Cricetulus griseus: one gene and its partners. The protein of the gene in region 3 interacts with the protein of the main gene of each other region in a biochemical or structural test. Links are inferred from orthologs where the notes say so. Each region holds a gene or a part of one and is shown on either strand. Other genes may lie near its edges. The genes, in order: Aurka, Pcna, Gadd45a, Cdk1, Cdkn1a and Eef1a1.

Evidence for each region.
Region 1: the proteins of Gadd45a (region 3) and Aurka form a complex in vitro, tested with the Homo sapiens proteins (2 studies listed by BioGRID). The link is inferred for Cricetulus griseus from reciprocal best matches to the Homo sapiens genes GADD45A and AURKA.
Region 2: the proteins of Gadd45a (region 3) and Pcna form a complex in vitro, tested with the Homo sapiens proteins (4 studies listed by BioGRID, with this or other methods). The link is inferred for Cricetulus griseus from reciprocal best matches to the Homo sapiens genes GADD45A and PCNA.
Region 4: the proteins of Gadd45a (region 3) and Cdk1 form a complex in vitro, tested with the Homo sapiens proteins (5 studies listed by BioGRID). The link is inferred for Cricetulus griseus from reciprocal best matches to the Homo sapiens genes GADD45A and CDK1.
Region 5: the proteins of Gadd45a (region 3) and Cdkn1a form a complex in vitro, tested with the Homo sapiens proteins (3 studies listed by BioGRID). The link is inferred for Cricetulus griseus from reciprocal best matches to the Homo sapiens genes GADD45A and CDKN1A.
Region 6: the proteins of Gadd45a (region 3) and Eef1a1 form a complex in vitro, tested with the Homo sapiens proteins (2 studies listed by BioGRID). The link is inferred for Cricetulus griseus from reciprocal best matches to the Homo sapiens genes GADD45A and EEF1A1.

The regions. Positions count from the first base shown.
Region 1 is NC_048599.1:6,970,555-6,975,475, reverse strand, and holds the start of Aurka (aurora kinase A), read right to left. Parts: upstream 3,136-4,921; 5' UTR 2,997-3,135; intron 1,121-2,996; 5' UTR 1,116-1,120; coding exon 1,074-1,115; intron 1-1,073. UniProt on the Homo sapiens protein: Mitotic serine/threonine kinase that contributes to the regulation of cell cycle progression.
Region 2 is NC_048599.1:46,331,248-46,336,087, reverse strand, and holds the start of Pcna (proliferating cell nuclear antigen), read right to left. Parts: upstream 3,293-4,840; 5' UTR 3,283-3,292; coding exon 3,062-3,282; intron 2,336-3,061; coding exon 2,238-2,335; intron 2,090-2,237; coding exon 2,022-2,089; intron 1,750-2,021; coding exon 1,555-1,749; intron 190-1,554; coding exon 66-189; intron 1-65. UniProt on the Homo sapiens protein: Auxiliary protein of DNA polymerase delta and epsilon, is involved in the control of eukaryotic DNA replication by increasing the polymerase's processibility during elongation of the leading strand.
Region 3 is NC_048601.1:76,185,064-76,189,851, reverse strand, and holds Gadd45a (growth arrest and DNA damage-inducible protein GADD45 alpha), read right to left. Parts: upstream 3,002-4,788; 5' UTR 2,833-3,001; coding exon 2,789-2,832; intron 2,705-2,788; coding exon 2,603-2,704; intron 2,508-2,602; exon of another isoform or gene 2,488-2,507; coding exon 2,250-2,487; intron 1,348-2,249; coding exon 1,234-1,347; 3' UTR 644-1,233; downstream 1-643. UniProt on the Homo sapiens protein: In T-cells, functions as a regulator of p38 MAPKs by inhibiting p88 phosphorylation and activity.
Region 4 is NW_023276806.1:268,282,787-268,286,975, reverse strand, and holds part of Cdk1 (cyclin-dependent kinase 1), read right to left. Parts: coding exon 4,120-4,189; intron 3,053-4,119; coding exon 2,929-3,052; intron 1,073-2,928; coding exon 902-1,072; intron 1-901. UniProt on the Homo sapiens protein: Plays a key role in the control of the eukaryotic cell cycle by modulating the centrosome cycle as well as mitotic onset; promotes G2-M transition via association with multiple interphase cyclins.
Region 5 is NW_023276806.1:257,585,347-257,590,179, reverse strand, and holds the start of Cdkn1a (cyclin-dependent kinase inhibitor 1), read right to left. Parts: upstream 3,232-4,833; 5' UTR 2,992-3,231; intron 1-2,991. UniProt on the Homo sapiens protein: Plays an important role in controlling cell cycle progression and DNA damage-induced G2 arrest. Involved in p53/TP53 mediated inhibition of cellular proliferation in response to DNA damage.
Region 6 is NC_048597.1:189,545,382-189,550,204, reverse strand, and holds the start of Eef1a1 (elongation factor 1-alpha 1), read left to right. Parts: upstream 1-1,825; 5' UTR 1,826-1,858; intron 1,859-2,802; 5' UTR 2,803-2,836; coding exon 2,837-2,980; intron 2,981-3,091; coding exon 3,092-3,271; intron 3,272-3,350; coding exon 3,351-3,647; intron 3,648-3,730; coding exon 3,731-3,881; intron 3,882-3,965; coding exon 3,966-4,222; intron 4,223-4,309; coding exon 4,310-4,544; intron 4,545-4,632; coding exon 4,633-4,757; 3' UTR 4,758-4,823. UniProt on the Homo sapiens protein: Translation elongation factor that catalyzes the GTP-dependent binding of aminoacyl-tRNA (aa-tRNA) to the A-site of ribosomes during the elongation phase of protein synthesis.

The DNA of each region.
Region 1 (4,921 bases), on a different chromosome or scaffold from region 3:
CCCAACTGCTTCTCCTTCACTCTCTCCCACCTGCAACAAATCTGACGGCTTTGTCTTCCATCCATACCAACAATGGGTCTCTGGTGGGGTTATCCACTTCTGACCATTCCCAGAGATGTGAGACATTTCTCCAGCACAGTTCTTTCCTCGCCTTCTGGCTTTTCCCGGAGTCTGGGTACCAGACGACTGTATCTCTCAGGCTCAGAATCCTTGGCCCCCACCCTTTGAGTGACAGCCTGTGCCAGTCTCGAAACTGGCCCTCTCTGAATTCCTGGGATGCTAGGAATTGCAGACCCTTGGGTCTTACTCTCTGCCTCACTCATGGGAGCTGTGTCACCATCTATGCCTCCTTGCTCCTATTGAGATGTTTTTGGAGACCCACGGACCATTCCTAATCGGCTACTGTTGCAGTACTACCAGGTGTTGGCCGTAGAGCTGGAGGCACAAGACTACCAAACATGCCCAGTGATGCTGTGGTGACGGGAAAGGACCAGGCGCTTTACGCCCTAGGGTGTTGATTTGGATTCACCAAGAACGGCATTTTGCCAGGTTCAGGAGGCACCTTGATGGTTCCACAGAGCCTGGACAGTGAAGTGAAACAGCCAGCTACTCCAGGACATGGCTAGCACCCCAGCTTTCCTAGGTCCCCCAAAGATGAACGATGCCCCCCAGGTCAGCAGGAAGTAGTCTTGAAAACACAATGGTCTCATCCCCACCTCACCTGCTACCCCTTTCTAATGACTCATCTTTTTATAATAAGAGGGAGGAATATTAGTATTTAGGCATCTATCCTTGGCCTGTTCTGACAGGATACGCCCTCAGCTGCTGTCAGCTCCCACCCTTCTTTCTTTCTTTCCCTCCCTCTCTCTCTGCTGGTGCTCCTGTCTCCCCCTCCCCTATTTATGATCTCTTTCCCTAATAAAAAGCCCTTCTCTGCTTGAACCCTGTCTCATGCCATCTTTCTTGAAGGCTGCTTTTCTTAAATTACAACAATGGGTGCACACAAACAAAATGCATTTCATTTCAAAACAACTTTTCAAAATTCAATTGTGATTACAGGTAATTCTTTTTACCTTAACAGGCCTGGAAACACAGTTTTCTTTACATCTGTCCATGTCACCTGAAGAGAGAAACAAGAGCCTTTCATTGACAGGAAGCCACGTACTGCTGTGCTCCGCAGTCACTGCCTCTGACAGACAGGCCTCTGTGACCTGCAACCTCACACTTCCCACTGACAATCCTGCACCCAGCTCCTCACATCCTCTCATTCTCTTCCCTCCTGGGCTTGTTCTTTCTGCTCTAAAACATGATGCCCAGCATATACAGCCTGCTTGGGTTACCCATTTGCTGCACAGCTACCCCAGGCCATGGTCCCATCTCCCATAACCCTTGAACAACAAAGCTCACCTACTCTTTTCCCAAGCCATTCCCATTGGGCCTTTTGAATCCCACGGTATTGCCAGTCTCTCAGCTTCCCCTACGGTGGCAAACCCAGCACTAACTTGATTCCTGGGGAACAGGTTTCAGCCAATCACATTTGCCCATTTCCCAGTTTATCTATTACCTTGCAAGCTGTCACTTCCTACCCTCCTGGCTTGGCCTCATTTTTTCCCCTAATCCCAGTCCTTCGCCTTCTCATCTACATCAGATGACCTTCACAGATCCCATTCAGCCAAGATTTACAACTCCATGTAAGAAAAGTTCTCCTGACACAGCAGGAATCAGCCTTGGGCTTCCCTTTTCAGATACGGGTTGCAGTCAGGACAAACACCTGCTTGCAGTCAGGACAAACACCTGCGTGTTATTGAAAAGCCCCTACTGCAAAGATGGGGGAGGCTAGGCAGGAGATGGAGGCATTAAGTGAAGGACTGGGGCTGTACCCACCTCACCTGTAGGAAGCCTGTAGGAAACGGAGCCCTGGGACCAGATGCCAGCTTGGCTAAATGACCTGCATTTTAGCTTTCCCATGATTAGCTATACCAGGATCCTATCCCTAAGATATTTCTATTTCCTACATTTGCAGTGGAGCCAGGATTTTGTTTGTTTGGTTTGAGATGGGGTACCTCTGTGTAGCCCTCCTAGGTAGTCTGGAACTCAGAAGTCCTTCTACCTGCTCCCAAGTGATGGGATTAAAGGAATTTGGGACCATATCAGTCTTGTATTTGTTTTTGAGACAGTGTTTCATGTAGCCCAGGCTGGCTTTGAACATGCTATAATGGAGGATCACTTTGAACTTCTGATCTTCCTGCCTCCACTTCCCCAATGGGAATTACAAACATGGTCACCGTGCCCAGTGTATGCAGTGCTAGGATTTGAATCCAGGGCGTGGTACACAAGAACTACATTCCCAGATAGGCCTCACTTTTGGGAAGGGCTCTCACATTGTATCGGAAGCTAGCTTCAAACTCAAGGCTACCCTCCTGCCTCAGACTGCTGATGTGAGCAACCACGCTGGGTGTGGGGATGGGGAGATGACTTATTTTTGTTTTTTTTTGTTGAGTCAGGGTCACAGTTCAGGCTGGCTTCCGATCTGCCATGTAACTTGTGATCCGCCTGCCTCCACCTCCTCACCATCGGAATTAAAGGCGGGGGCTACCATGATGGTTTAGGCAGTGCTGGGGGCCGAGCCCGGGGCTTCCGGAATATTCTACAAGCTGAGCTTCCGCGGGTCTACACCGACACCGACTGCTCAAAAGGCTGCGGTGAGGGGGCAGCACGACCCCGGGCGTCTCTACAAGGGGACCCCCGCCTGGTCCCCACTGAGCCGCAGTTGCTTCGTCCATACCACCGCCATCGGTTTGCAAATCACCCGGTATGGCCGGTGGTCCGGGTCCCATTCCCACCAGAACCTAAACCCAAGGAGGGACGAGGCCACCTGGATCTCCGCTGCACCGATGCGAGCCCCGAGAGACAGCCCGCCACCCCCGGGCCCCTCTCCGCCCCGCGTCGCTCTGCAGCGCCCAGGCTCTCCCTGGCCCGCCGGGTCCCCTTCCTACCCCGGGGCAGGATCGCGTCTCCAGCGAAGACTCCAAGCGATTCCAGGAGCTCAGCCGTTACAATTCAAAGGTTCTCCTTTGAAACAGGAGTTAAACCCTCTCCTCCGGAAGCTGATTGGCTGGAGGCGAAGCGGCGCCGTCCTGTGATTGGCCCGCCGTGAACGCGACGACGGGAAGCTCGTTCCGGGCCGTAGCCGGGGCGCAGGCGCACTGAGCCGTCAGCGCCCGGAAGTGGTGCGCCAACGGCCTGTCCGATCTGTGGCCGTTCTGTCGTTCGCCGTGCTCCCCAGGATCGGGCGTTTGCCGGTCACACAGCAGCCCTTCGGGTTCAGGGTTGCCGCGAAGGTGATCAGCTCGGAGGAGGTGAGTGAGCGTCTCGAACGTGCCAGTGAGTAAGATGGCGAGAAGGGCAGGCTGGCCGAGTGAGCGGGAGGGTGCTCGGCGCTCGGCTGCCTGCCCTTGGCGCGTGCGCAGTGGGCGTGCGCTCGGAGCGATCGATCGGGCACGATTCGCGCCTCCATCTTTCCAGAAGAGAGCGGGAGACCGGGACCCTGATCCGGGGGTACGGAACGGGCTCGGGTGGCAGGCGCAGGGAGACGGGCTGGTGCGGGCGCCGGGGGCTGGCGTGGAGAGGGCCCGGAGCCAGCGGAGAGGGTGGCGGGAGGCCGGACGCCCCGGAGCCGAGCGGCCCGGCCTGCACCCCGAGCCAGCGAGCGAGCGAGCGAGCCTCGGGCCTGGGTCCCGGCGGCTCCCTGCTTTCCCCTCCGCCCGAGCGGGGTGGGCCCCCTGCAGCCCCGGGCCGGGCTCCTCCCGCCCGCCCGTGCTTCCTCCCGGGGACTCGGGTGAAGGCTCGGCCGCCGCCCCCCCCACCCCCCTTTACACCTCGAGACCCAGCCCCGGGCGTCCCTGGCGGGAGCGGAGGCTGCGCGGACCGGCCCTCACCCTTGGGGGCCGGCTGTAGCCTGACCGGGTGCCCTGGAAACTTTCTGGAACTCGTGTCACTCTCTGTCGAGTCCCAGTGTCTCATGCAAGGGTTAGGCTTGTACACGCTTATTTCTAACGTGAAGTGCACGAGTCTCTGGATGCCTGCGTGTCGAGATTAATGCCGATCGGGTGCTCGGGGTCGTCGTACCCGGCGGTAGCAAGAGCTCGATGAGTGGTAACTGTTGAGGTCTCCCGACAGTGCCGTGCTGTGTGTGGCCTGGAGGGTCCTGCTGCTGCTGCTGCTGCTGCTGCTGCTGCTGCTGTTGTTACTGAGCCTAGGGCGTCTGGCAGGCTTAGCAAACACTGTAACCCCTGTCTGTAACCCCCAGTCCTCCCCTCCCGCTGTTCCCAGATTCCGATAGCCAAACTCTAACCGCACACGTACTGGTAATTATCAGATTATTTGCCCAAGTTGGTAACTGAAGCCGGCGTCTTCAGTTGCGTTTCATGTTCATGGACTGGAGAGCTTAAATCCTTCCAAGTAAAACTGAGAGGAGCATAATCTGTTGAGATGTTTGCATTTCTTATTTGTTTTGGTGGTATCATTTTAGGTTTGGTTGTGACAGGGTCTCACTATGCAGCCCTGGCCGGCCTCCTGTGTTGTAGACCAGACTGGTCTCAAAATCACAGGGATCTGCCTGCCTCTGCCTCCCAAGTGCTGGAACTAAAGACAGGGGGCCACCATGCCCAGCATTTGGCAACATTTTCTTAAACAGCTCAAGTTGTCATTGTTCCAGAACATTATACTTGGCTTATTTTTCATTTTCTGATCCTCCTTTGTTTTTTGTGATGTATTTATGTGTTCATTTACTAACTCAAGTAATATAATTTTAGTAATAAGCTTGGTTGCCTGAAAACAGGTTTTAAAATAATAAAAAGGTCATCCGTAGGTTTATAGTCCAGCTGGTGAGAACGGTAAAAATAGTCCAGGCGTCCGACAA
Region 2 (4,840 bases), on a different chromosome or scaffold from region 3:
CGAAAAGTTAATGACTGAGGAGTAATTACTATACTACAAAACAATGTTAAAACTTAGTATCTTACCAAGGGGTACATCTGTAGACATACTGAGTGTTACTGTAGGAGACAGTGGAGTAGCTTTTGTGAAAAAGTTCAGGTACCTTAGTGCAAAAGTTAGCTGAACTGGCTCATTCATTTCTATGGTTACCTAGAGAAGAAAACAGGCTCACTTAACACAACATCAAGAAACTCACACATTAGTACATAACATACAGCACAAAACAAAAACCTTTAGTTATCACTTTGGAGGATTTTATGAAAAGTTTGAAGACTAAAACACATTTAGCCTATCTCTTGTAGAAGCATACCCCAAGCAACACAAAGAAAGTGGCTGTTCTTTTCTAGACTGCAAGCACTAATCTCTTCCAAAGAATCTATATAGAGGAAAAAGAAATGGAATGATAGCTAACCAGTAGAGCACTTGACTAATATAAGTCCTGGGTTCAATGTACAACACTCAACTCCCACCCCCAAAAGTAACCACGGCTGGCGAGATGACCCAACAGTTAATACTCGATGCTCTTCCACAACATCCAAGTTTGGTTCCCAGCACCCACATCCAGCAGCTCATAACCAACTCTAGTAACAAGAAGCAACAAGTTAAATGCAAGCTAAGGGACATGTTGACCAATTTTCATTTTATCAGGAATTTTTTTCAAGTCCCAATTCAAACTAAGGAAATAAGAAACATGTGAATACTGAAAACTTAATTTCCTTTGTTGTGGTAATGCTTATGCTTTAAACAAAATACTTATGAATTAAATACCTTGTGATCTGAGGATGACAGGTAAGTAGGAATAATTAAGCAGACAGATTAAGGTTAAGAACCAGCCCTATGGGTTGTGTATATATGTTCTAATCCTCAGTTATACAAGTTGCAGACAAAATAACATTAAACACTTTGTGTTAAGCACTCCGAATTTTACATTTAGCACTAAAAATCATATTTAGTTCAGACTGTGTCTGCAATTTATAGTCTGATGCTCAGACTAGCTGGCAAAACTTTTTAAAAAACTTAGTATAATTAAAAAGTTTTGACTTCTGAATATTTAGCAATTAGCCTAGTATCTTCTGCTTGAATGAGGCTTTCCAGGCATTTTTCCTTTGCCTTTCCAACATCTTCCTCATTTTTGAGGACTTTAAAACTTATCAACACTCAACTTTACTTAGTCTGCTTTTGCACCATTAAATGGGGTAGCACGTGAAAGTCCAACACAAAGCTACTTACTACAAGATCTACATGATCCCAACAGACTCACAACCCCAACCATTTTCTTCTGTTCACTTGTTAATGCTTATTTGTCAGTCATTCTAGGAAGCAAAAGCTTGGAAACACCTAGCTTCCCAGTCCCACCTGTGAAAGCATATATGCAGAGTGTGGAGTATCTAAGTTCAAAGACAGCCTGGTCTACTCACACTCCACCTCAAAAGAGCTAGGTCTGGAGAACCAGCTCAGCAGTTAAGCTTATATTCATTCCCCTTTCAGACACTGCAGACAACTTTTACTACTTACAGCTTCCTCCTCTTTATCAACATTACTTGTTTGTGACAACTTAATGTTTCCATTTCCAAGCTCTCCACTTGCAGAAAACTTCACCCCATCCTTTGCACAGGATATTACAACAGCATCTCCAATATGGCTAAGGTCTCGGCATATGCGCGCAAATTCACCAGAAGGCATCTTTACCACACAGCTGTACTCCTGTTCCTGTAAATCCCAAAGTTAAAGGTCAGAAGTGTGAGGACAAGTATCTGATTTCTTTAAAACTCAATTTTAGACTGTCATTGCTTAGTGAAATTGTCTTTCATTCCAAATACCCACTTTGGAACTCATCAGCTGGTATCACAGCTTGGTAAAATTCACCAGCGAAAACAGGATATTCTCCCAGCACTAAGGGGGCAGAGGCAGGCAGATCTCTGCTGAGTTTGAGTCTACAGAATGAGTTCAAAGACCACCAGAAACGAGAACAAGATACTCACAGGGATTCCAAGTTGCTCAACATCCAAGTCCATTAACTTCATTTCATAGTCTGAAACTTTCTCTTGATCTAACAAAAGGAAGCAAATGTTATTGAAGCACATGTTCATACCTATGGTGTAAAACTTTACAACCGCAATTCTGTTAATATCCTTAGTTTTGAGAAACAGATCATACTTTGCTTTCTGTAACAATTGAGTTTTAGAGGTGTAACTTACTTGGTGCTTCAAATACGAGTGCTAAAGTATCGGCATTATCTTCAGCCCTTAGTGTAATGATGTCTTCATTACCAGCACATTTTAGTATTTTGGACATGCTAGAAAACAAGAAGCAGGGCTTATCAACACCATGTGTTCAACATCTACTCTTTTAAAGGCAATTACAAGATGTTACCCTTTTACGCCCACACCAAATCCCCTGGGGGGGGGAGTAAACTATCGGGAATGTGATCCTTAAAACCACTCAAAGGCAATATGCCAGTAAATAATTTTTTGAGCAGGATGTCCTTGGTTTCCAGTGTATCAGAGTGTGCCCTATATCATATGTGGCCTTTTCACAAATCTTTTAAAACGTATACCGGTGGCAAATTCATGCATCTGTAACAAAGTTAAAAGCTAAGACTGGTAAATTTTCCCACAAATGATTCGCAATGAGATTCTAGACTCCAAGTAGAAAAGGCCTATTGTCCCTCTAAGTGGACAGTACCACATTTTCACCAGAACACGTTTAGTAGGCAGCTAAAATTAGCCAGGACAAGGTTGTGCCCTGAAATAAAAAAAGCTGCTGGCGTTTAATGAACTGATCTCCAACGCAGGCATTTTCCCGCCGGCACCCGTTTTGTGGCTTTGGCGCGGAAACAGCGGGTTCGCGCGGCCACCAGCGCGGGCTTTTCAGAACCGCGCGCTTCCTCGGGCTCCGCCCCCAGCTCCAGACACCAATCAGAAGGCGCGGATGACCACGTCAGCCAATGAGAGCACGGAGCCGGAGCCCCGCCAAGACCCGAGGCGGGAGGGCTAGAGCCCAGCTCCCGCCACCCGCTCACCTGGTGAGGTTCACGCCCATGGCTAGGTTGCGGTCGCAGCGGTATGTGTCGAAGCCTTCGGAGCGCAGAGTGAGCTGCACCAAGGAGACGTGCGACGAGTCCATGCTCTGCAGGTTCACGCCGCCCGAGCTGATGTCCCAGCAGGCCTCGTTGATGAGGTCTTTGAGAGCCTCCAACACCTTCTTCAGGATGGAGCCCTGAACCAGGCGAGCCTCGAACATCCTGGCGGAGTCGCGACGACTAGATACTAGAGACTGTGACAGGAGAGAGGGCCGGCCGCGAAGGTCTCCCGGCTCGCGATGCAGAAGTGGCAGCGAGGACCCGCAGGGAGCGACTACCAACTTGGGCGCCCGCAACCGTTTTTATGCTGCCGCTTCCTAGGCGCGCGCTCTTTCCGTGCGCGAGAGTTGCGACGTCACCGCGCTGCCCCACCCACCTTCCCCTCAGAACCAATCGTATCCGAGTCCCGCGCAAGGCCCGCCCTGCCGCGTACACAGAGGCGGGGCTGCGGCGTACGGGCGTGGGAAGCGTGGGGCATTATGGGATCCGCGGAGGCCCACCTTTTGGAGGAGGCTTGTCCCGGCAAGTTTCCGCGCCACGGAAATGAAAGTCACGTGCAAGCCGAGCTGCGCCGGGAGGCGCGGGTCGGGGGTTGGGAGGGGTGGGGTGCAGGGCTGCCTGAAGTCGAAAAGTATACCTGTTTCAAACACTACAGAGCGCTTTTGCTACTGCGTAGGCGAAAACGCTGCAAAATACCGAGTAAGGAAGGAGCCACCACATCTTAACCCCGGTTTTCTATCACTTCACTGTGTTGGGCGCTCTGAACTTTCCTCCCTAAAGATTAAAGAGTTCCTTCTTGCCGTGAACACTTCTGCAAAGAACCCCAAAGTATGACTATCTCTTAAGATACATAATCCATAGGTCCCACCTAATTAGTTCCCTGTTACGCCTCTTTCCCTAGCCTGAACCCCATCTAGGCTGGAGATGAACCCAGGGCCTAGAGGCTAAGCACCAATAACTTCATGTTAAAATCAATACCCATTCCTGAAAATGTCAGCCATTACAGGTGCATGTGTTCCTGCTGCGTTTTGTTCTACTGAAATTTCTTTTTCCTGTTGATTATAAGGGTGGGGGAAACTGAATGCAGGTGGTGGACACCAGCTACAAACGGATGTAAAGCTATTTTTTTTTTTAATTTCTAATGTTTCTTCTCTTTGTTTTGTTTTGGTGATGGATAAAATATGTTTGATGCCGAAAGTGTAAAATATTAATGTGAAAGTCCACAGTTTCTATTTCAAATGCCTCTTTTTGTTTGTTTGTTTGTTTGTTTTGTTTTGCTTTTTTCGAGACAGTGTTTCTCTGTGGCTTTGGAGGCTGTCCTGGAACTAGCTCTTATAGACCAGGCTGGTCTCAAACTCACAGAGATTCACCTGCCTCTGCCTCCAGAGTGCTGGGACTAAAGGTGTATGCCACCACTGCCTTCCTAACATTGGGACCCGGCTGGGTGACCTAAGGGGCCCCTGGGGCTCGCTGTCCATTTCCTCCTTCTGCCTAGGTTTGTATGCCAGAGTGTAAATTTTCTGCCCTCTGCCAGGGGGCTTGAGAGCATGGACTTTGATTTGAGTAAATTTCCACTGTGGCTGCTGTTGGCATATAAGTCTCCTCCCCTCTGAAATAAACTGGCATTCTCCTTGCAAAAATGACCTATTGTGTCTTTTCTTAGTTAATCCTCAGGTTCCCTAGCCAGAACCCATGAAAGGTTGTAGTGCTGGCCTTTAC
Region 3 (4,788 bases):
TGCCTTACACTAGTACTGTACAGCCAGCCATTCTGGCAATTAACTATCCCTTATGGCTCCATGTTATCTTCCTACAACACTGACCATGTCACTTCCTTCTGCAGAATGAAGGCCTCTGCAGACTGTGGCCAATTTACAGAGGAAAGTTCAAATACGTAAAAATGATACGAGAATGCCTGTCAGAGTCTGAACCTACCCCCCCACCTACTCTTTCCAGCCCTCTCTCTCTTATCTTTCTACACCAGAGGCATGCAGAGTCAGTCTCTATGCAGGCTGTGATCTTTCAGGCCTCCACACCTCTGCACAAACTGCTGTTAGCAACATCCCTTTCCTCTCTCTAACTAGAGAAATTAAGGTTATTTCTTAAGACCCCAAGAAAATGATTTCTCCTCAGCAAAAGCTCCACTAATCTTCCAAGTGGCCCTGGTTGCCCTCCTCTCTGCTTCTACATTTTGCATGCATTTTTGTAGCATTAAAATAACTAATTGTAGTTATTCAAACTTTGCAAGGGGAATCCGTAAACATTTTTTTCCCTTATCCAAGCCCTCTAAAATCACCCATTTTTCTGCCTAGTGTAAAGCAAGGCTTCAATGAAATGTCTGTTAATAGTCAATGTTGCACAACACAAACCACACAGTGAAAATGATGCAATTATTCCATACCAGTTTATTTTAGATATTGTGCTTCAAAAACTTTATCATAAATAACCTTTCATATCATAAAATAACTTAGTCCGATTTATAATAAAATTTCTGAGAATTTAACATCTCATCAAAATACATTAACCTGTAGCTTTAAAATACAATTAATCCTTTTCACTTTCCTTTTACTTGAGGGCATAAAGATCAAAAAACAAACAAACAAAAAAACCAAAAAACAAATACAAAAAAAAAACAAACTATTGCTACACATTTAAGGTTTCAACAAAGCAATATTTGGCTTATTTAATGTAACTCAGCCATCCTAAATCAACAGTTTTCTTTCTTGCACAGTTCTTTGTAGTTTTTGTCCCTTTTGACTTAGATTTCTGTTTCAACACAGCTTCCTTCTTTATTTTCACCTCTGTCCATCTGCAAAGTCATCTCCTAGCCCCCATGTAGTTGAACTCACTCAGCCCCTTGACATCAGTTTCTGTAATCCTTGCATCAGCGTAGGGAGTAACTGCTTGAGTAACTACAAAGGTATTTCAAAACTTCAGTGCAATTTGGTTCAGTTATTTCCATTGAGATGCCATCACCGTTCGGGGAGATTAATCACTGGAACCCACTGATCCATGTAGCGACTTTCCCGACAAAAGCAAATAAGTTGACTTAAGGCAGGATCCTTCCACTGTGATGAATGTGGGTTCTAAGAACAAATTTAGAAAAATTACTTTTCCATAAAATCATCAGCTTATGCTACTAATTGTACTACTTTTGAAAGGGCCAAAACCTGAGCATTCTGTTAAGTAGCATTTGGCAAGATCTAAACACCTGTAATGCACACTGGGCCACAGAGTTTTGCATAATTATCTGTACCATTCTGCATGAGGTTATCATTCATAAGTTGAACCTATCAAGCATGCACCCTAGTAGGGTCATAAGTAAAATAGCTCTGAAAACATTCTCGCACACCATGTGAAAGCTGCAGGGCAGGCAGCTTAGCTTCACTCTTATCTTCCCTGGTGATGAATGGCACTTTTCACTGGCAGCAAAAGTAATCAGGGTGCCACTTGCCTACACCAGTCAAGGCAGAGAAAGGACAAAAACAAAAAAACAGAAGACCAAGACAGCACATTTCTCTCTGAAAACATTATTCAACCAGAAATTTTTAAAGGGCGTGTGTTTGTGTGTGTGTGTGCGTGGGGGGGGGGGCTCATCTAAACAAATACAAAGGTTCAGAGAAAAGAATTCCACTCTGTACACACCAGAGTATCTCCAGCGAATTAATAAGGTCTGTCTCCTACTCTATTTCTATATTTAGCTTTGAGAGCAAATGAAGAATGAAGCTGACTTCTTAATGAAGGGTGAGCCGGGAATTTATTTGGCTTTATCTAATCTGTCCTGCTCTGAGAATTAGTCACGCGAGGTAGTGCAGAGGTAGGCAGAGGTAGCTGGGCAGCCTGCTGACTCACAGGGCTATCTTCCGCCGCTGGAGGCCACCCACGAGCTTAGACACGCTCGGTACCATCAGAACCCCCGCGAGATCAGCGTCTAGCACTGCCGAGGTCTATCCCAACAGATTCCGGGCTGCAGCCCCGGGTCCCTTACCGTCACCAGCACGCAGTGCAGGTCAGGGGGCTGCGAGGCACCCCCGCTCTCCGCCGGGCCCGCGTCGCTCTCCAGCAGCAGCAGCTCAGCCAGCCGGCCCGGGTTGCTGACCCGCAGGATGTTGATGTCGTTCTCGCAGCAGAACGCCTGGATGAGGGTAAAATGGATCTGCAGAGCCACGTCCCTGTCGTCGTCCTCGTCTGCAGCCAGCAGGCACAGTACCACGTTGTCGGGGTCGCTGCGGACAGCGGGGCAGCGGTGAGTGCACACTGTCCAGGGAGCTCGGGGTAGAGGCGGGCGGCGGGCGGGGGGGCGGGCGGGAGGCAGGGGCGCGGGCGGCCGGGACCACTTACACATTGAGCAACTTGGCGGCCTCGTACACGCCGACGGTGATGGTGCGCTGACTCCGCGCCTTGCTGAGCACTTCCTCCAGGGCATCTCCCACCGTGTCCATCCTGCGGGCGGCAGGGCGAGAGTGGGTCAGCCGGGTCCCCGACGGCGGGAGGGGCAGCGGCCACAGAGTCCGCAGGCACACTTACCTTTCGGTCTTCTGCTCTGCGGCCGAGAATTCCTCCAAAGTCATATTGCAAGTGCGAGTCCCTCACGCGGCGCGCGGGCTGCTCCTGCCCCCCCCAGTGCGCGGCGCCAGCCCCGCGCTCGCTCGGCTCCCACCCGCCGCTTCGCCGCTTCTCGCCTAAGTCTCGGTAGGTGAGGACTGCACAGCTTCCTCCGGGCCACTGGAGGACAAAGGCCCCCGATTCCGGAGTTATGGGGCTAGCCGTCAGCCAATCAGGGCCCGCCTCATTTGCATGCAATGCACCCATTGGCTTATGCAAATTAGCAGACTTTGACACTCAGACCCTAACTCCACCAGCCCAGGCAGAGTTGAGCGGAAGGGGGCGGAGCTACGCGGGAGGGAAGCCCCCAGGGATGAGAGTGGTGCAGAAACCGGGTTGGCGGGGTCCTGAGCCAGCTCTGGGAGTTGGTGGAGCCATCTGGTGAGGAGGGCTTTGCGGTGGTTCCAGTGTCCTCAGCTCGTACTGAAAACAGCCTGCCAATTGTTTTTCTAGTTGTGGAGATCTTTTGATGGTCGTCTCGTGTTGTTTGTGTTAAGGGGCTGATTTTACAATTTATTTCCAGGGTTAATGCACCCTGGTGTAGCTGTTATTAGTAAGCAGATGGTATTTTTAAAGTGTCCGGATGTGCCACGCAAAACTTGCTTCAGAAGTGTTGTTTATATGTTAAGTTTCAGGCAATGCTGATTTTTCACAGTAGTATTCTTTTGGTGCCCTGATGGCTGGCTTGATTTATTTTTGGTTGGGTGCAAGAATTTGAAGCTCCAAATAGAAAACCCAGCACACTGGTGTGTGGTGATGGCACGGTACCAAGTTGGAATCTTTTCCACGAAAAGCTGATAAAACTTCTGCCCACTCCATATAAGGTGGGTGGGGGGAGCTGGTGATCAACATGCCTAATGAGCCAAATTTACCATTCTTAAAATCTTTCCCGAGGGCACCTTCTGATCAGGCAAGAGCTGAGAGACAAATTGTGGTACTCACAGGAGCCACAGTCTAAATTCAATATGCTTATGCCATTCCCTGGTCGCCCCTTCACAGGCAAAAGAGTATGACACCACCTTCCACTGCCTATGATCTCACTCTGAATTACTGATGCTGAATCATGAAGCTGTAACTATAGAACATTTTAGCCATGTGCTAAAATTTCACCTTTGAGATAATGGCAACTTGTAGGTGGAAGGCAAACCTTCATAACTGCAAGCAGGAGTCACACATTAAAAACAATTTTTAATGTAGACTTTTACTGAGTACTTCAAAAGTCCCTTTGTTTTATGAGCTTATTTGATAAATACAAAAGCATTGCCTGATCCAACTGAAGTAACAAAATTGCCTCTCATCTGTTTGAATTCATAACAGTGCTTATTTTGAGGTCACTGTGCAGCTAATAGTTAGCAGAAGTAAATTTTGCAGGGGTACATATGAATTTTGCATCCTTCAATTTTTCTCTTGTGGACAAAATATTTTCCAATTTCCTTGCTCTTAATGGAAAAGTGATAGGTTGGTTTTCTAGTTCATTTATTGGAGATAGACTTTGTATTCATTCCCTAAGGGCTTTGTCACGGAGAAGCAATGTTGAGTAAAGGAACGAGTGTCAGTGTATGGTTCACCCTAGGGCGTTAGTGTACCTCATACCTGTACTTTAAATCTTTACATGGGATGTGCTTGTTAAAGAGTTTCTCAACATTGGGCCTAGGAGTCTAGCTCAATGGTAGAGCAGTTTCCTAGCATGCTCCAGGCCCAGGCCCAAAATTTTATCCCTAGTCCTGCAAAATAGCAACAAGGACAAAAGTGCAACATTCAAGTTTAGGCTTCGATTGTGATGGTTAACAGTGATTGTCACCTTAATGGGGGTCTAGAATAATCACTAACATAAGCCTCTGGGCATGTCAGTGACAGATCATCTAGATTAGGTTAATAGAAAGGGAAGACCCCTCTAAATGGACAACAATATACCTTGGGCT
Region 4 (4,189 bases), on a different chromosome or scaffold from region 3:
GCATCATGTGTAGGATCTAATCCCCAGAACTGCATTCCCCAGGCACAGCAGTGCACACGAACGACCTCCGTACCCAAGAGGCAAAGGCGAGCATCAACAGCCATCCAGAGAATTTGAGGCCAGCCAGGGCTACAGAAAACCCTGCCTCAAAAAAAAACAAAAGAAACAAGGAGGGAAAGGGACAGGAGTCCACCTGACACGATGGACTCCAAGTTCACAACTCCCCAGATGTCAATGTTCTTGCACTTTACAAGTCACTGCCCTTTCACAAACACCAGAGGAACCCAGTCTAATGATGCAGACCACAATCCCAGCTGCAGGGAAATGAGGCAGCATTCACAAAGCCTATCTGGTCCACTGACTTCAAGGCCAGTCAGGGCAAATTAGTAAGACCTTTTCTCAAAATAAGAACACAGTTCAGGGGTAGAACACTTACCTGATATGTGTGAGGCCCTAGGTTCAAGACCCACTACATAGAAACATAAAATAACCTAATGAAATGCCAAGCATCAATAGAATACCAATTGATGACAGAGCCATGGGTACAGCTCAGTGATGTAAGGACTGGGGCTCAATCCCTAGCACTTCCTCCCTCAACTACAGTTACTAGCTCCTAAATGTATCAGAACAATATAGACATCAGACAGCAAAACCTGCCTTTTAGTTGATCTGAATGACCATAGCAGGGTCCCATCAGGAAGAACCACAGCTCTGAGAAAGATCGATAAAGAGAATTACAAAAGTTACAGTAAACCCCTTCTGCAAGGCCTCTTCAGGAATCTCCCTTGACAAAAGATGCCAAAAGTTCCAGCTCCACTTTCACAGGGAAAGAGTGACTGTAGAGACAAGAAGCAATGAACTGATAGTACCAGAGCAGAACTGTGGGCAGCAATCCAGTTACCTCATGTGTGTACACTCTTATCGGTATCCCAAAAGCTCTGGCAAGGCCAAAATCAGCCAGTTTGATTGTTCCTTTGTCATCGATCAATAGATTTTGAGGCTTCAAGTCTCTGTGAAGAACTCTTCGGGAGTGACAAAACACAATCCCCTGGAGGATTTGGTATAAGTAACTCTAGAAAAAAACAGCCAGAAACTTAATCATGCCACAAGACTCTGAAATGACCACTGTTTATGAAGAAATTATGATGCCGAGAAATAATTATATTATCAAAGGACCTTTCAGGCCCTTTAAACTAAAAAAACTTGTGGGCAGGAAACCTGATTACATATAGTATATGTATATGGAAGGATTTATCTATACCCACATGAGCATTTAAAATTTTGTCCCCTATCTTTAGGTCACAAGTTAGCTTCCTATGAAGAAGTTTCCTCAACACATTCATATCAAGCCCTTTTTCTTGAATAAAGTTGCTCTTTTTCATTTCTCTCACTTCCCACATGCACTTGCTCTTTGGAGACATCTGACTGACTTCAATTTGAAATGAGAAAAAATGTAAAACAGACAATACTGAAGTTGAATCATAACCTAATTCTCGTGTGTGTGTGTGTGTGTGTGTGTGTGTGTGTGTGTGTGTGTGTGTGTGTGTATGAAAACTCAAGTATGTGTGTTTGCACACACACATGCAGGTGCCAGGGCAGTGGTGGAAGTCAATGTCTTCCTCTATTGCTTCCACCTTAGCTTTTGAGGTAGCATCTCTCATTAAACCTGAGATGTTGGTCAAACTGGCTAGCCAGTAAATTCACACACACACACACCTTTCTCCTCTGCCCTCAGGTTCTGGGATTACAGAAGTACACAATACCACACCTGATTCATAGATGCTGGGAACCAGAACTCAAGTCCCCATGCTTACAGCATAAGTATTTTCCCTCCTGAAATGTCCCCCCCAAGCCTTACAATCTAGTTCTGAAAACAAAAGTAATCTTGGTGCTACAAAACAAACAAAAAGAAAAAACAAGAGCAAGGGGGAAAAGAGGACGGGCAGAAAAACGTTGACATTATTCTAATATATATGATCTAATACATTATACATTCAACAAGACACAAATCAAAGTCCGAAAGTCATTAAGAATATTGTGCTGGGTAGTTTTATGTCACAGGAGAAGAGGGAGCTTCAATTGAGAAAATCCCTCCATCAGATTAGGCTGTAGGCAAGCCTGTGGGGTATTTGCCTGATTAGTAATGGATGCTGGAGAGCCCAGACCATTGTAGTGTCATCTCTAGGTTAACATATATGGTTCTTGGTTCTATAAGAAAGCAGGCTGAGCAAGCCATGAGGAACAATCCAGTTAGCAGCACTCCTTCATGGTGTCTGCATCAGCTCCTGACCCAAGGTTCCCACCCTGTTTTAAGTTACTATTCTGACTTCCTTCATCGATGAACTGTTACATGGAACTGTGGGCAAAATAAACCCTTTCTTCTCCAAGTCATGGTGTTTCATCACAACAACAGTAACCCTAAGACATACATAACATAAACAATGGCAATCAAAATGGGGGGGAGGCAATAAAAGGAATTATCAACTGTATGTTACTAAAAAGACCTTTGAAATCATTGAAAAATTAAAATCTATCTAAAAATACAAAGATCAGTGAATATGTACAGGCTATGTATAAATCACATTAAATATCAAATAATAACTGTGTGATTTAACTGAAATACAATGTTTACATTAACCAAAATATATTTTTCACAGAATAAGTCCTCCCAAGTATCAGCCATAGTATATTCTGTCTCCAGCAACTTAATTTAACACATAGTCCACAGTGAGGCACTTACGTCCTCAGACACTACTTTTCACTTCCTAGAACGGTCTGGTATAAAGAGATGACCTCATCTGTGTGGGAAGAAAATAAAACCCTCTCTACTTCTATTTTCTTACATATTTTCCACCATTCACCCACAAAACAAGGATAAGCCATACACTCTGAGTGCATAAGTATTAATAAAAGTCTGCAGACTCTTACCTTAACGAGTGAAGAATCCATGAACTGACCAGGAGGGATAGAATCCAAGTACTTCTTGAGATCCATGGACAGGAACTCAAAAATTAGATACAACCTCGAGTCCTGCATGAGCACATCCTGAAGACTGAGGAGAAAACAATCCATGAGAGCCCAGCAATACCTCCACCTCGAGCTTCAGGATTTTAGTAGAAGCTTCTCAACAACTACCTTCACACTGAAGACTTGAGGAAGGCCTGCCTTTCAGGACAGTAATTTATGACTTCCTGTACAGCTTGTCTTTGTTCCTCTGTTCTTCTTTCATTGAAGTAAATTAATTATGGACATTAAAGTTGAACATAATCTTTACATTCAAAGGCTGCCTAAGCTAGAGTGAGTACAAGGCCAACCTGGGTAATTTTGAAAGATCCTGTCTCAAAATAAATTTAAAGAGTGCTGGGAGTGGTGGTTTAAGCTCATAGTGTGGGCACTTGGGAGGCTGTTACATAAAAGCAGTAAATTCCAGGCCAGTCTGAGTGAGCTAGAGTCAAGTCTTGCCTCAAAACTTCAAAACCCAAAAATTAAGACAGTCTGGGATACAGCTCAGTGGTAGAACATTTTCTTAGCATGCCCAAAGCCCTGGGTTCAGTACCAAGTACCACTAGAAATTCTAATGAGCCACTAGACAACATCCTCAAAGACCCAGCCCAAAGGAGTCAATAAAAAATTAAAGCATTTTCCCCATTCCAACCTAGCTACTTTCCTAAAGGGCCTTTGGGGACCTGGGCTCTGAAAATCAGAGCTGGCAAAGCTCCTCATGGAAGGGCTTCTTTCTTCCCACAGCTACCATGCCTGTTCCTCCAGCCAACATTAATTCTCAGCACCATGTCTGGAATTCTTTGAACAGGCTATTCTCTTTTATCTCCTCCTAGCATTACAATCAACAAAAATAAATGTGACTCTATCCCACTGCACCCAGAAACTAAACAAACATAAAAATATCCACATTAAGCCGGGTGGTGGTGGTGCACGCCTTTAATCCCAGAACTCGGGAGGCAGAGACACTCGGATCTCTGTGAGTTCAGACTAGTCTGGTCTACAAGAGCTAGTTCCAGGACAGCCTCCAAAGCTACAGAGAAACCCTGTCTCAAAAAAAAAAAAAAAAAAAAAAAAATCCACAATGGGGAGAATTGTTTCAATTCAGACATAGCCCACCTGACTATATTTGGATGGCGAAGTTCTTTTAATAGGGAAATTTCCCGGATGGCGGTACTGGGCACTCCTT
Region 5 (4,833 bases), on a different chromosome or scaffold from region 3:
TTGCCTCAGAGAAGAACATGTTCTGCCAGAGCCTGTCTGCATCAACAGTGCACCCAGATGACTGATGGGATGGCAAAGTCTGGACTGCCGAACCAGCTGCAGTGCTCCAGCAAGGACCAGCTGAGCCTCTCTTGGGCCTCTGGTATCTGTCAGTGCCCATCTCACTGCCTAACCCGATTGTCCTTATACCCAGAGAGATGTGCGTGCCATAAATGCAACACTCACCCAACACCCCACACCCCCACCCACCCAACCCCTGGCGCCCAAATCCAGCCAGTCAGAAGCTTAAGTAACTAGTGAGTCCAAGGAACCCTTTCTCTGGGAGTATCAGTACACTAGTAACAGTAGTAACGTTTGTGGAAAGATTTCTGTGTGCCTGACTTGGCTCTTTACCTGTACAACCTTAGTTATTGAAGACTAGAATTTATGCCAGAAAAAAAATCAACTTCTTTTTTCTTTCTTGTATATTGTATGTATGTGTTCATCTGTGTAGGTAAGGGTGCGTATGTATACGTGTGGTGTGTCACACCAGAAAATCCAACCCTGCTTGTCATTCCTCAGATGTTGTCCGCTCTGCCATGTGTTTCTCCTGTGTCTGTTTGAGACAGAGTCTCTCTATGTAGCCCAGCTATCCTAGGACTCACTCTGTAGACCAGGCTGGCCTCAAACTCATGAAGATCTACCTGCCTCTGCCTCCCAAGTGCTGGGATTAAAGGTATGTGCCACTGTGCCTGGCTTCAGCTTGTGCTTCTTAAAAAATATGTATGCACATGTTATACTTTATTTATTTTGTGTGAGTGAGTGTGTGTGCACATGCATGTGGGTGCATGTGTTTCATGGGGCCCCGGGGATGTCAGAGAAATCAGTCTTCTCCTACCAGGTGGGCCCGGGGATGGAACTCAGTCGGGTTTGATGGCAAATGCCTTTACCTGCTGTGCTGGCCAGTTCCTGCCTCTGCTTCCTGAGTGCTGAGGTTAAAAGTGAGCACCACTACACTGGGCCCTCGCTATGTCCTTCTTCATCCTTGCTTGTTGTGATGTAAGAATCAAACCCACACCAATGGGTTTTAATGTGGTTTGTTAGGTAAAAACACAAATTTAAATGCAGCTCAATCATTTTTGTTTTTAAAATATCTAATTATAGACTGAAGATGTAGCTCAGTCAATAGAGTTTGTCTAGCATGTACAAAGCCCTGGGACCCATGCCAACACTGTATAAACTGGGTGTGGCAGCACACACCTGTCATCCAGCACCAGGAGATTGAAGCAGGAGGTTCAGAAGTTCAAGGTCTTGGGGCTAGATTGCTTAGCAGTTAAGAGTATATAGTGGTCTTGCAGAGGACCCAGAATCTACATTTGGTAGCTCACAGCCACCTGGAACTCTAGATCCAGGGGATCTGATGCCCCCTTCTGGCTTCCTCAGGCACTTGCACTCACATGCACAAACCTCACACTCATATACACATAACTATAAACTAAATCTTTAAAAGAAAGAGGGAGCTGGAGAGATGGCTCAGAGGTTAAAAGCAACGACTGTTCTTCCAGAGGTTCTGAGTTCAATTCCCAGCAACCACATGGTGGCTCACAACATTCCGTTATGAGATCTGGTGTCCTCTTCTGGTGTGCAGATATACATGGAAGCAGAATGTTGTATACATAATAAATAAAATCTTTTTTAAAAAGAAAGAAGTTTAAAGTCATCCTCAGTTATAAATTGAATTGGATGACATCCTGAGCTACATGAGATCCTGTTTCAACAAAACAAACAGCCTTCAAGATACCCCTCCCTCAAGCTCAACTTTCTGGATGGTCCCCAAGAGAGGACTTGGCATTCTTTACTATTTCTGTTCTTTGTTAAAGCCCGTCCCAAGACAAGCCCCAGCATACACCATCAAAGTGCTAAGGATTTGGGGTTCGGAGCCTCTGATTGCACAGTGGGGCAATGGCCTCAGAAGTTCAGAACCATGGCCCCCCCTCCACCCAGCACAGGTAGGCAGATGACAGGAAACAAGGCCCTGGGAGCTGCTAGCTTTGGCTGGAATGACTCTGGCAGGGGTCAGGGTGAGTCCGGGTCTTTACTGTGGCCCCTTCCATCAGCTGCTCATCTTTGTCTTTGCCCTAAGGTGTCTCTGGGTTCCTCTGGGGTTATATTGGCACCAGAACCACCCCGGAATGTAGCAGCAGCTCCTCTAAGCCCCAGTGACAGTGGCCGCACTATGGTTGCAGAGCCAGGAGTCACCAGTGTGATGTCCTCTGTTGATCTTCTGTGGCTTCTTAGAGACCTGCACTTGTAGAGAGGGGACCATGTGTCCTCCTGGAAACATTTGAGAGCTTAGGAGAGGGCTGAGGAAGAGCTGGCAGGGTGGGTGGGGCATGGAGGGGGCATGAAGGGGACATGGAGCGAGGCCTGGCACTGTGAAACAGACAGACTATGAAATGTGACAAGGGTGTGCTTGGGGCACACACCTATAACCCCAGGCAGGAAGATCATGTCTTTGAGACCAGCTTAGGCCACATAAGATCTGTTTAAACTGAACCAAGTGTGGCAACACACCCCTGATATTCAGGGGAAGAAGCAGGAGGACTGCCATAAGTTTGAGGCCCACTCATTCTACGTGAGACCAACTGAAACTAAGATAGAACAGAGCCAGTTACTTCACTGAGGTAAAGATTTGAGGGAGAAGGAGATCATCTCTCACACTCGTGAATCCAGGAAAGGTGTTCTAGGTGGCCGGTGCTCTCCATGCAGTGAGTCAGAGGTCCAGGCCCTTTCTGTCCTATAGCTTCCCAATCTTGAGGGCCTGGAGGTCTATTCCCTGGGCTGGAGGAAGGAGAAGGCTCTAAAGAGGATGTGTGCACTTTGTCAACTGGCTCAGGAGTACTCAAATTGCCTTCTCTAGACCAGACCATAGATGGGAAGCTGACAGATGGCCGTGTATGGCTGCAGAGGTCTCTGTAGTCCCTGGCTGGGGACACAGTTGATGTGACTTACTTCTTGCGGAGTCTCTATGAGCAGATGGGATGTCCTCCTGCCTAGGAAGTCATCCTAGGCTTTTCCCGCTGAGGCACAGACCGAGAGAACACTGCAGAGGCGCCTAGGAAATGGGTTCTCACATATGTGGACCATCCAGCACCACAAGAAATGAAACCATGAGGTCCACACAGGGACAAAGGAACAGTGCACACTGCCTCCACACACAGCAGGACCCCACTTCCTCCTTCTGGTACACAGCTTTCAAAGGAAAGGAAAAAAAAAAAAAAAAAAAAAAAAAACAGCATCAAAGCCGAAGGAGTTACCGGCCCACATGCAGGAAATCCCTTATTTGGCAAATCTCCTGAATCCCCTGGGGACCTAGGAGACAGCTTGCTAGGAAGCCCCCCAGAATTTCTTATAGGGGGTGCATTGTGCTCAGCCTAGATCTGGAAGGGTGGGGGTTCACTCCCTGAGACCTCAAGAAAGGTCCAATCTCCCTCTCTGTATTTCAACTGGCTGGAAATGGCTCCATCAGCCGCCCATCCTCCCTAACCTAGGGTTTCTGAACAGAGGGGAAGAGGGTGGAAAGGGACTTGCCTTTGGGAGAATACTCACGTTGTCAGGCCGGAGTCTGAAGCAGGGGGATGGAAGGTTCAAGGCCTGTAGAGTGAATTCAGGGTCAACCTGAGGTTTCAGTAAATGAAACTTCATGCAAAGAGCAAAACCAAAGAATTAGGGGATGAAGCTTGGTGGTCGAGCCCCTGCCTAGCATGCCAGGGATCAATGCCCATGGACTGAAGCAAAGAGAAAAGGAGAAGAACAAAACAAAACCCTCAGGGCTTAGGAAAAAAACAGCTGCCTGTGGCCTGCTCTCTCTGTCTCCCTCCTTCCCTCTCTCTCTCTACCCCCTTTCTGCTCTCCCTGTCTCTCCTCTCTGCTCTCTCCTTCTCTCTGCTCTCTCCTTCTCTCTGCTCTCTCCCCATCTCTGTTCTCTCCCTTTTCTCTGCTCTCTCCCTTTCTCTGCTCTCTCCCTGTTCTTTTCTCTCCCTCTCTCTGCTTGCCCCCTCTCTCTCCCTCTCCCTCTCCCTCTCCCTCTCTCTCTCTTTCTCCCTCTCTCTCTCTCTCTCTCTCTCTCTCTCTCTCTCTCTCTCTCTGCTCCTGTTTCACTCATGGACAAGTCCAGTCCACTGGCCATGTTCCCTCTACTACTCTCTCTCTCTGCTCCGGTCTCTTCCAGATGCCTCTGACTTTTCTCTCCTCATAACTACATTAAAAAAAATACCTCCCCTTAGCCATACCATAGAGCAGACACACCATCAGTTTATACGCCACCAAGCCTAAGGACCTGAGTTTGGCTCCCAAAACCCACACACATGAAGAAGGAGAAAAACAACCCCTGAAAGTTGTTCTCTGACCTCCACATGAGAACCTGGCATGTGTGCCTGCATATACATTCATGGCCATGACAAAAAGAAAAAAATTTTCTTAAAAATGCAAGAAAAATCTCAGGTTCTTTGTGCACAGAGAGTCTCACTGGAAGAGAATAGATACTGGGACAAGTGATGCCTCTGGAGAGAAGAGGTGGTCTCCTTCCTGTAGTGCCCACCCCCAAGACCTCAGCACCCAGGGCTTCACACATGAAGTGCTAGACACACATGCAGGCAAAGCACCTACACAAATAAAAATAAATATTAAAAAAATTAATATTTTATTTTTATTCTTTTTTTTCTTTTTTTTTTTTTTTTTTGGTTTTCGAGACAGGGTTTCTCTGTGTAGCTTTGGAGCCTATCCTGGCACTCGCTCTGGAGACCAGGCTGGCCTCAAACTCACAGAGATCCAACTGCCTCTGCCTCCCGAGTG
Region 6 (4,823 bases), on a different chromosome or scaffold from region 3:
GGATCCTTTAGAGCTACATGGTTGAGGGAAGAGAACTGACTCCTGGAAGGTGTCCTCTGGTCCCCACACATAGCTATACACAGCATGTGCATTCACACACACTAAATAATGCTATTTTTAAAAAAATTAAAAACAACAACAGTTTGGGTTGTGAAAACTAGAACTAGATAATAGGTAAGAATCAAGTATCATGTAAATTTGCTTTCAACTCATCCCAAAATTTGTTTTATATTTCAGTTTTTTTCCTTCCTAGCTTGACTGTGGAGTCTTGTCCGGAAGCAAATAGTTCCTTTGCAGATCCCACATGTGGACACCGGACAGTAGGTCCTCAAATGCTCCTTATTAGGTTGGTTCAATAATATCAATTGTTTGTTACTAGGCAGTGATGTTGTACATCTGGAGGAGATCTCTTGAGCCCATAATCAGGTTATTAGGAATAAATACTCTAAGGCTAAAAATGTAGCTTAGTGATAAGAGTGCTTGCCTGGTGTGCTGAGACCCTCGGTTCCATCTCCACAACCCCATATTCCATTACAAAATACCTTTTCACCGTCCCTAGCATTAAGAAACAAAACAACAAAGAAGTTTTTCTTTCTTCTGAGATCCTGCCCGGAGAGGCATTTAAAACTGGCCAGGGCCAAAAAAAAAAAAAAAAAAAAAGAAAAAAAAGAAAAGAAAACAGGCTAGGGCCGGCATGGTGGCGCACGCCTTTAATCCCAGCACGCAGGAGGCAGAGGCAGGGCGGATCTCTGTGAGTTTGAGGTCAGCCTGGTCTACCTAGTGAGTTTCAGGGCACCCAGGGCTAAAGAGACTGTCTCAAAAACAAAACAGCCACACAATCAGAACCACAGCAAAACGCAGTTATGATCCTTGGAACTGTAGGAATGACAAGCATTTAAATAATAGGACGAGCCATTTTTGAGAAGCTCTGATTTCACAAGTGTCAGGGATGGGCTCTGGGCGAGTAAGATTGCTAATGCTGGCCTCTAAATGAGACCACGTGGAGTTGATTAGATTCTTTTCATGTTCCTCGTGCTCTATCAAATAACTGTACCCAAATACACACACACACACACACACACACAATGCGCGCACACACAAAATCCTTTTTTAGCTTAAGAAGCCCAGAATCAGAAGTAAAGCTAACTGTGGGACTTAAGTATTATTCTGAACGGAACTCCCAGGGCGTGAAGCGCGCTTCAGGCTTCCAGAGAAGCAGCTGGCGCTGGATGGAATGAACCAAGAGGCCAGCACAGGGGCAGATCCGTCGAGCTCTCGGCCACCGAGCTGAGCCCTTAGGTTCTGGGGCTGGGAAGGGTCCCTAGGATTGTGCACCTCTCCCGCGGGGGACAAGCAGGGGGATGGCGGGGCTGACGTCGGGAGGTGGCCTCCACGGGAAGGGACACCCGGATCTCGACACAGCCTTGGCAGTGGAGTCAGGAAGGGTAGGGACAGATTCTGGACGCCCTCTTGGCCAGCTCCTCACCGCCCCACCCCCGACTGGAGCCGAGAGTAATTCATACAAAAGGAGGGATCGCCTTCGCCCCTGGGAATCCCAGGGACCGTCGCTAAATTCTGGCCGGCCTCCCAGCCCGGAACCGCTGTGCCCGCCCAGCGCGGCGGGAGGAGCCTGCGCCTAGGGCGGATCGCGGGTCGGCGGGAGAGCACAAGCCCACAGTCCCCGGCGGTGGGGGAGGGGCGCGCTGAGCGGGGGCCCGGGAGCCAGCGCGGGGCAAACTGGGAAAGTGGTGTCGTGTGCTGGCTCCGCCCTCTTCCCGAGGGTGGGGGAGAACGGTATAAAAGTGCGGTAGTCGCGTTGGACGTTCTTTTTCGCAACGGGTTTGCCGTCAGAACGCAGGTGAGTGGCGGGTGTGGCCTCCGCGGGCCCGGGCTCCCTCCTTTGAGCGGGGTCGGGCCGCCGTGCGGGTGTCGTCGGCCGGGCTTCTCTGCGAGCGTTCCCGCCCTGGATGGCGGGCTGTGCGGGAGGGCGAGGGGGGGAGGCCTGGCGGCGGCCCCGGAGCCTCGCCTCGTGTCGGGCGTGAGGCCTAGCGTGGCTTCCGCCCCGCCGCGTGCCACCGCGGCCGCGCTTTGCTGTCTGCCCGGCTGCCCTCGATTGCCTGCCCGCGGCCCGGGCCAACAAAGGGAGGGCGTGGAGCTGGCTGGTAGGGAGCCCCGTAGTCCGCATGTCGGGCAGGGAGAGCGGCAGCAGTCGGGGGGGGGACCGGGCCCGCCCGTCCCGCAGCACATGTCCGACGCCGCCTGGACGGGTAGCGGCCTGTGTCCTGATAAGGCGGCCGGGCGGTGGGTTTTAGATGCCGGGTTCAGGTGGCCCCGGGTCCCGGCCCGGTCTGGCCAGTACCCCGTAGTGGCTTAGCTCCGAGGAGGGCGAGGCCCGCCCGCCCGGCACCAGTTGCGTGCGCGGAAAGATGGCCGCTCCCGGGCCCTGTAGCAAGGAGCTCAAAATGGAGGACGCGGCAGCCCGGCGGAGCGGGGCGGGTGAGTCACCCACACAAAGGAAGAGGGCCTTGCCCCTCGCCGGCCGCTGCTTCCTGTGACCCCGTGGTGTACCGGCCGCACTTCAGTCACCCCGGGCGCTCTTTCGGAGCACCGCTGGCCTCCGCTGGGGGAGGGGATCTGTCTAATGGCGTTGGAGTTTGCTCACATTTGGTGGGTGGAGACTGTAGCCAGGCCAGCCTGGCCATGGAAGTAATTCTTGGAATTTGCCCATTTTGAGTTTGGAGCGAAGCTGATTGACAAAGCTGCTTAGCCGTTCAAAGGTATTCTTCGAACTTTTTTTTTAAGGTGTTGTGAAAACCACCGCTAATTCAAATCCAACATGGGAAAGGAAAAGACTCATATCAACATCGTTGTCATTGGACACGTAGATTCAGGCAAGTCCACCACAACCGGCCACCTGATCTACAAATGTGGTGGAATCGACAAACGAACCATCGAAAAGTTTGAGAAGGAGGCTGCCGAGGCAAGTATTCGAAGGGAAAAGGTCGGGGGGGGTGGAAATCTACCGTAAGCAGGAAATTGTTTATTTAGAAACTAGATGTTTTGAGTGTACTAACTGCGAATCACTGAACAGATGGGAAAAGGCTCCTTCAAGTATGCCTGGGTCTTGGACAAACTGAAAGCTGAGCGTGAGCGTGGTATCACTATTGACATCTCCCTGTGGAAATTTGAGACCAGCAAATACTATGTGACCATCATTGATGCCCCAGGACACAGAGACTTTATTAAAAACATGATTACTGGCACTTCTCAGGTTTGTGAAATTTACTACCTTCTGACCCTTACCTCCAGCTGGAAAGCTTTGTTATTAACGGGAGGTAACTTTTTCTTAGGCTGACTGTGCTGTCCTGATTGTTGCTGCTGGTGTTGGTGAATTTGAGGCTGGTATCTCCAAGAATGGGCAGACCCGTGAGCATGCCCTTCTGGCTTACACCCTGGGTGTGAAACAGCTAATTGTTGGTGTTAACAAAATGGATTCCACCGAGCCACCTTACAGCCAGAAGAGATACGAGGAAATTGTGAAGGAAGTCAGCACCTACATTAAGAAAATTGGCTACAACCCTGACACAGTAGCATTTGTGCCAATTTCTGGTTGGAATGGTGACAACATGCTGGAGCCTAGTGCTAATGTAAGTGACTTGAAGAAGGTGGTTAAATGGAAAAGCTGTAAGGGGGGAGAGATTATAAAACATTTGGCTACTCTGCATTTCAGATGCCTTGGTTCAAGGGATGGAAAGTCACCCGTAAAGATGGCAGTGCCAGTGGTACCACACTGCTGGAAGCTTTGGATTGTATCCTGCCACCAACTCGTCCCACTGACAAGCCACTGCGACTGCCCCTCCAGGATGTCTATAAAATTGGTGGTAAGTAGAGCATTCGGACACTGGACTAAGATGTTTTGAGGTGTGTTCAGTTGTCTTCACCTTATATACTGTAAATGTTTTTAGGTATTGGGACTGTTCCTGTGGGCCGAGTAGAGACTGGTGTTTTAAAACCTGGAATGGTGGTTACCTTTGCTCCAGTCAACGTTACAACAGAAGTAAAGTCTGTTGAAATGCACCATGAAGCTTTGAGTGAAGCTCTTCCTGGAGACAATGTGGGCTTCAATGTAAAGAACGTGTCTGTCAAAGATGTCAGACGTGGCAACGTTGCTGGTGACAGCAAAAATGACCCACCAATGGAAGCAGCCGGCTTCACTGCTCAGGTAAACAAGATAGGTGTCAAGAGTGTAATATTGATAGCAGCATGCAAAACCTGAAGGCAAGATTTAACCAAATGCTGTTTCTTTCAGGTGATTATCCTGAACCATCCAGGCCAAATTAGTGCTGGCTATGCTCCTGTACTGGATTGTCACACAGCTCACATAGCATGCAAGTTTGCTGAGCTTAAGGAGAAGATTGATCGCCGTTCTGGTAAGAAGCTGGAAGATGGCCCTAAATTCTTGAAATCTGGTGATGCAGCCATCGTTGATATGGTTCCTGGCAAGCCCATGTGTGTTGAGAGCTTCTCTGACTATCCTCCACTGGGTAAGTAGAACTTAAGTTTCTGTTGCACTGAGTATTGTTTGGATATGAAATGCTGTATGAACAAGTGCTCATAACTGTTTCTGTGTAGGTCGTTTTGCTGTTCGTGACATGAGGCAGACAGTTGCTGTGGGTGTCATCAAAGCTGTGGACAAGAAGGCTGCTGGAGCGGGCAAAGTCACCAAGTCGGCCCAGAAAGCTCAGAAGGCTAAATGAATATTACCCCTAACACCTGCCACCCCAGTCTTAATCAGTGGTGGAAGAACGGTCTCAGAACTGTTT